Linked DNA regions of Yarrowia lipolytica. The protein of the gene in region 1 purifies or fractionates together with the protein of each later gene. This does not show direct contact. Links are inferred from orthologs where the notes say so. Each region holds a gene or a part of one and is shown on either strand. Other genes may lie near its edges.

The links. The genes of interacting proteins can lie anywhere in the genome.
Region 2: the proteins of YALI1_E31947g (region 1) and YALI1_F27556g purify together in Saccharomyces cerevisiae (affinity purification with mass spectrometry; 4 studies listed by BioGRID, with this or other methods). This does not show direct contact. The link is inferred for Yarrowia lipolytica from reciprocal best matches to the Saccharomyces cerevisiae genes PDB1 and PDA1.

The regions. Positions count from the first base shown.
Region 1 is NC_090774.1:3,193,192-3,196,758, forward strand, and holds YALI1_E31947g (uncharacterized protein), read right to left. Parts: upstream 2,211-3,567; coding exon 2,049-2,210; intron 1,580-2,048; coding exon 587-1,579; downstream 1-586. Other genes in the region: YALI1_E31919g (uncharacterized protein), read left to right, coding at 1-412; YALI1_E31974g (uncharacterized protein), read right to left, coding at 3,448-3,567. UniProt on the Saccharomyces cerevisiae protein: The pyruvate dehydrogenase complex catalyzes the overall conversion of pyruvate to acetyl-CoA and CO(2).
Region 2 is NC_090775.1:2,754,119-2,757,627, reverse strand, and holds YALI1_F27556g (uncharacterized protein), read right to left. Parts: upstream 2,014-3,509; coding exon 1,924-2,013; intron 1,599-1,923; coding exon 504-1,598; downstream 1-503. Other genes in the region: YALI1_F27574g (uncharacterized protein), read right to left, coding at 1-18, 97-131. UniProt on the Saccharomyces cerevisiae protein: The pyruvate dehydrogenase complex catalyzes the overall conversion of pyruvate to acetyl-CoA and CO(2).

The DNA.
Region 1 (3,567 bases):
CATCATGCATGTTCTCAACTCCTTCCTCAGCACCATCCAGTTCATCTCTATTACTGCCTTCCATACCCAGATTGCTGACCCTGTCATCGGAGGCACCTACATGACCACCCTTAACACAATTTCCAACCTGGGCGGTCTCTGGCCAAAGATTATTGTTCTCAAGGCTGTCGACTGGTTCACATCCGCCACCTGTACACCCAAGGCTGGCAAGACCTTCGCTGCCTTCTCATGTGTGGCCAAGGAGGCCAAGAACATGTGTGAGCAGAGTGGAGGTATCTGCACCATCCAAACCGATGGCTACTACATCACCTCGATGCTGTGCATCACCATTGGAGCCACGCTGTTCTTTGGATGGATTTACAAGAAAATGCGCTTCCTTGAGTCGCTCCCTATTTCAAGCTGGAGAGTTTGAGGCTGTATATAGATACATTAGACGAATAAAATATGAAAGATAAATGTTTGTACGAATAATTAGATATGCTTCAGTCACTTGTTGAATTGCGTTAAATACGTTAATCATACTCTACATAAGCTCCTATCCGTGCAATAATTACTGTATGTACCTACATGTTGTAGCTGGAGCGCTCTACTCCTCAATGTAGAGGGCGTCCTTGGCAGCCTTGACAACAATCTCGGGTGTGGGGAAGGCGAAGTTCTCAAGCTCAATGGCGTAAGGAGTGGGAACCTCAGCTCCGGTAACTCGCTGGATGGGGGCATCAAGGTAATCCCAGGCCCAGGAGTCGTTGACGACACCACAGAGCTCGGAGCCCATGCCAAAGGCGGGGAAGCCAGCCTCGACAGAGACAAGTCGGTTAGTCTTCTTGATGGAGTTGAAAATGGTCTCAGTGTCGAGAGGCTTGACAGTTCGCAGGTTAATGACCTCGGCATCGACGTTGTGGTGCTTCTTGAGGAGGTCGGCGGCCTTGAGGGCGGTCTCGACGTTTCGGGAGTGACCGACAAGAGTGATATCCTTACCCTCTCGCTCAATCTTGGCCTTTCCAAGGGGCAGAACGAAGTCGGGGGACATGGCCTCCTCAGACATGGGGAAAGACTCTCCGTACATGATCTCGTTCTCGAGGAAAACAGTCACGTTGGGGTCTCGGATGGCGGCCTTGAGCAGACCCTTGGCATCCTCAGAGCTGTAGGGAGAGACGACCTTGAGACCGGGAATCTGGCCGTACCACCCGGTGAAATCCTGAGAGTGTTGGGCAGCAACACCAGCGGCGGCACCGTTAGGACCTCGGAAGGTGACATTGCACTGCTGGGTACCTCCGGACATGTAGTAGGTCTTGGCACCGGAATTGATGATCTGATCAATGGCCTGCATGGCGAAGTTCCAGGTCATGAACTCGCAGACGGGGGTGAGACCGGCCAGGGCGGCACCGACACAAACACCGGCGAAACCCATCTCGGTGATAGGGGTGTCAACCACTCGCTTCTCGCCGAACTTGTCGAGAAGGCCCTTGGTGACCTTGTAGGCACCGTTGTACTGGCCGACCTCCTCACCCATGATGAAAACATTATCGTTTCGGTCCATCTCCTCTCGCAGTGCGGTGTTGAGGGCGTCTCTGACAGTCATCTAGGTTAGTACGTTGTTTTGGGTGTTGTCATGTTGATGTTGTTGGAAGTGTACAGAGCATTGTACAATTGCGACATAGCAGGAACGCAATCAACGGCTGAATCGCCGAATCGCTATTTCACAATTGGCACCTACAGCTTTGATAACTCCGGCAGCTCCAGACACGGAGTGCAGTTACAGCATGAGGCTGAATGTCCGCGTCACAATGATGATAAAATGGGTGCGTTTCAGGAGTTGCTGAAAATTTGACTGGTGGCAAATATCACTGAAAGCTCGTCACTCCATTGTGATCTCTCTCGCTATAACCGTGTTTGCTTCTTCTGCCATGTCTTAAGTCCGAAAAGCACTGTTTGCTGTTGATGAACACCCGTTACACAACGCTCGAGTTGCCCCATTCAGGGCGCATCGCGAAGCCGCAAGCGCACGGCCGTCGTGTATATATCGTGTCGTTCACACAAAAAATACTCACGTTAGTGGCGCCGCCTTCGGTTGAGGCAGCTCGGGTCTGGCCCATCATTCGGATGGCAGCCTGCTGGCCAGCAGTGGGCAGCAGAATCTGCTTGGAGGCGGGCTTGAGAACAGAGGTCTTGGCGGTGGCGGCCAGACGGTTCAATTGCTTGATGGCAGACATGTTTGTGGCTTGTTGCTGTGGGACCGAAAAAGATCTCAGATATCGTTTGTCGATGAAGAGTCTTGTAGTGAGAGATTTAGCTCGGAGGGGCGGTTGAGAGTTATTTCCCAACAGAATAGAGCCTAACCTGCTGGCGGGTCACATAACCCGGAAAAACTTTTCGAGCTAATTTTCCGAGTGCTCAGCAGCGCGTTGCGCGGAAGTGGAGTGGAAATGACGGTTATAGAACGACTCAATTCCCAGACTGGATACACTGGCAATGTTTTGTCACACATTTTTGGTCAAAACAAGCGCAACTACCTTGGTATTACAACGTTCTAGTGACACGTCCACCCGGACTAATTTAGGTTGGTCCCCCACGTCACACAGAGGACTAAAGAGGAGAGCCTACTGCTGTGTACACGAGAGTGAGTGGCTATTGGCGGTAGCAAAAATGGGGGTCCAAGACGAGCGTAAAGCTCAACACGCTCAGAAGTCCGATTATCGGAGCTTGGAATTACTAACCAAGACGCACATGTCACGTGAACACAATATAATACATGGTGCGTCCCTCGAGGATCTACCCTGTTGGTGTCTACTATCGGAATAATCTAGATGCAAACATAGCTATGAGCTTCAGCTATACGGGGGCGTGGACTGGACGTACGTACAGAGCAGGTGTACAGCAGTAAATATGTACAAGTCTGTAGGAAGGGAGCAAAAACCACCAATTGAACAGTGTGCGGTTTTGACGTGCATGCATACACACAAGAGGCACTGCTTGGTGTTGAGACAGCAAGTTGAGATAGGAGCGGGCAGTAACATATTAGATACAGGACCCTAAGTGCCTGTACTTGTATATCTAATGTGCGCTATGTGCAGTGTCTACTGTATGTATCCCAATTGTACATCGCCAAGTAACATTTTACATTGTACAGTACAGTAATGACTTTCAGTGTGTGCATTCAACGATCATTTATTTCCCACATAATTACAGTAGCCCAACATGACTACTTAATATTAGCACAACTTTTGGCTGGGTGAAATTTCTGACGTCAACGGCGATTGGGAATGTTGAGCTTTAGCCAAGTACAAATACAACAGTTGGGCCATATCGGCTACGCAAATCCGCACGAATCTATGCTAATACTTTCGTTATAGGGCTTCTGTTAGAACAGCAAGTGTTTTTTGAGTACCAGTGGGGTTGTCTGAGCGGGTGTGCTTTGCTACAACTCCTGATTGTTGTTGTGGGAGTGCCTTAAATAGGCATCTGACCCACCCGCTTGTAGCCAAACATCTCGCCGATCTTGAACCAGAGGTTTCGAAGAGGATCGACGACAATTTTGGCCAGCGAGGCGCCTCGTCGCTTCTGCTCACC
Region 2 (3,509 bases), on another chromosome or scaffold:
ATAGAGGACATCTCCTCGCTGTAGTTAGTAAGTGATCCAGAATGGCGTTTGTCACACAAAGCCGAGTCATATCACACCATCCCCTCTAATACTCACTATTTGTAACGAGACATGTCATTGTTGTTCGACATGATGTGCTTGGTGTCGTGGGTGTTGCGTGAAGGATTTATTTCAGCGTAGATGTGCTTATTTTCTGAACCATATGCATAACAAGATGTTAAAATTGGGTGGTGAGCCCACAGTGCAGCAGGGTCAATTTACAAGTAGAATATACTGCAGATTCTACGACAGATGCTTGTACTAGCCCGAGTGCGTGCCTTCAAAAGGGCAAAAAATGATAAAATAAATGGGATAAATTCTTTCTCACTTACTATTCACCATGTTTCTCTCGCAACATTTTCCACAATCACTTCAAGCTCACCCAATCTATGTACTGTACTCCTGCTTTCTACTCATTCTCAGAAAACGACGGCTCGTACATTAGTAATTACATTCTACTCTACTTAGTTCTTAAAGTAGTAGTCCTCGGAAGGGATTCGGCCTCGGATCACAGGAGGCTCGGTGCCGGGAACGTAGATATCCTCAAACAGAACCTTGGCAGTAGCCTCGGGAGCAGGGTCGGACTCAGCAAGGGCAACCTCCTTGTCAACCATAGCTCGAGCAGCCTTGTCCACAGACTTAAGCTCGTCCTCAGTGGCGAAGTTAAGCTCCAGGATGTGGGCCTTGAGACCAGAAATAGGATCGTTGTGGGATCGCATGTACTGGATCTCCTCTCGGGTTCGGTAGGTGGTTCCGGGATCGGACATGGAGTGACCACCGTATCGGTAGGTCTCGAACTCCATGACGAGGGGACCCTTGCCGTGTGTGGTCCACTCCTTGGCGAACTTGGCTCCCTGGTAGACGGACAGAATGTCCATTCCGTTAACCTTGAGACCGGGAATGTACTGACCTCGCTTGTAGTACTGCGTCAGGGCAGAGGATCGAGCAGCAGCGGTACCCATTCCGTACTTGTTGTTCTCGCATGCAAAGATGCAGGGGAGGTCCCAGAGCTTGGCCATGTTGTAGGCCTCGAAGATCTGACCCTGGTTGGAAGCACCGTCACCGTACAGGGCAAAGGTGGCCTTTCCGGTCTGCTCGAGGTACTTGTGGGCGAAGGCGAGACCAGCTCCGACGGGGACCTGGGCTCCGACAATACCGTTTCCTCCGTAGAAACCCTCGGTGAACATGTGCATGGATCCACCCTTACCGTAGGAGACACCGGTTCGCTTTCCGAGCAGCTCGGCGATGATTGCTCGGACAGAGGCACCTCGCATGTAGGCGAAACCGTGGCATCGGTAGGCGGTGATGACAGAATCGTCGTGGTCGATGGCCTTCTCGATACCGACGGCAACAGCCTCCTGACCAGTAGACAGATGGCAGAAACCTCGGATCTTCTTGGCCTTGTAGAGGGCATCAGCAGCCATCTCGAGTCGTCGGACGGTCACCATGTCCTTGTACATTTGCAGAAGCTCACCCTTGGTCATCTCGAACTCGAGAGGAGGGGGAGAATCAAGCATGTAGGTGGTGTAAGAATCCTCCTTGAGCGTGATTGTGCATTTCTGGGGTTAGTATACGGTCGATTGAAGCTGTTTTGCCACGTTTTGTGATGGATTGCTGGTGGGTGAGGAATAATTTTTCCGGGTGCATGCGTTCCTAGAGGTTCGATTTTCTCTAGGCCCGTTTCTCATTAACAATCTCAGCAGCGTCAACGAGACGCCACCGCCAGGGGTAATGGCATCCGTAGAATCATTTCCGAGGGGTCCCGCGTCGATGGCATGTCTGTGTCGTCCGTTTCGTCGTGTTTCGTGAGGCGTATGTTTCGGAAAAACTCCCTGTAACCCAAATCCACGACACCCCAACGCAATGGGCGAAAAAAATACTCACCTTGTCGGCATCGTCAGCGATGGAGTATGCTCGGACCTGGTGGCCGAGTCGGCTGGTGAGCCGTGTAGATCGTCGAGCGGCAGTGAGCATGGTCAATTGTCTTGTTTTCACACGGACTGGATTGAGAAAAGCGCCACTTGGATGAAGTTGCAGGTTCTATCTGTGTGTTGTCAAGTGAGGAGAGTCAATTTTAGGTCTGCTATGGGCACCACCACAACCCACTAATCGCTCACACCGGAGAAATGTCCCACCAACCTTATTTTTCTGCGCGGATATTGAGTACTGTTGAGCGTGTGGGGGTCTAACAGAGAGAGAGGGAGGGAGGGAGGCTAAGCAAGAGAGTGGTGATAGATGGTACGCATATTGGAGAGAAGTGATGAAAGAGGAGAGCGCACGATACTGTCATAGTTATAATACTATGATTCGGTCTCTCCACTGGGATTTCGCTGAAACCCCTATATTCTCTCTCGCGTTTTTATTTTCACCCAGTAGCCCCAATATACACCTCCTGTCACACATACATCAAACGAGAGGCTCCCATACGGCTGTTGAGCTCGCCGACTGGTTGGTGCATTTCTCGTGGGTGGGGGGCCAACCTGGCTTACTCTATACAGAGATATAGCCCCAATTGAGACCGTGCCTGGGAGCAGTTGACACGGCACAATTTCTCGGATCTGTACTTCCTTGTCAATGCGTTTGAGTCAACAACTTGTGTTTGCTACGATATATATCTATCGGCTATCGACTTACAACAGTTCAGCATTCCGAGTTGGGGCTGAACACAGCTCAGCATTCAGATAGGGTGGGTGCCTTTTCGCTTTGGCTAGTGTCGTCTACAAGTAGTCCGACCAATCACAACATCGTACTTGTATTTTCTTGGATCATTAGTTGAACTGAGAGCCCATTTTCAACCGTTGCTGAGACCTGCTGGTGTGCCCAACAGTTATCTCGGAGGGTGAGCGAGCTCCCAGATTGGCCATTTCGAAAGACTGCCTTGAAGTGCCCAATACGTCAAATTACTCGTACTTGTAGCTTGCATGAACGCATCAATGTGCAGCTCGCTGCATTTGTGGCAAGTAGTCTGGAAAATCTTTTCGTATATCGATACTGTTTTGGGATAATATTGGTTGTCTGTCCATCAGAGCATCTGTCTCTACCCCATTCGCCATGTTCGTACCAGTAGTCTCCGGTGGAAACGGTTTCATCCAGTTCTAAACCCTCCTGTCTAACTCCGACGACGTCAGATTTTTCGCTACAGTAGCTCAAAGAATGCATTCAACAGCTCGCTATTGGTATGTCCGAAATGTACTGGTAGGAAGAGAGAGAAAACTTTAGCCTGGGAAAAACTTCAAGAGCTCCCTGGGATCCTTTAGCGAGGAAAGTATTCGCGACCACAAAAAAAGGTCACCTGACTCTACACCCAAGCCAAGATAGCAGATGGATATTAAAGTGTCAGGATCTACAGGGATACGAGCTGTGAAAATCAGTCTCATCTGAGAATTGTTGTCAGATGTGAATTCATTTTATACAGAGAATGGCTAGACGGATGGACATCTACCTAAGATAGAAGATTATAACATATTGCA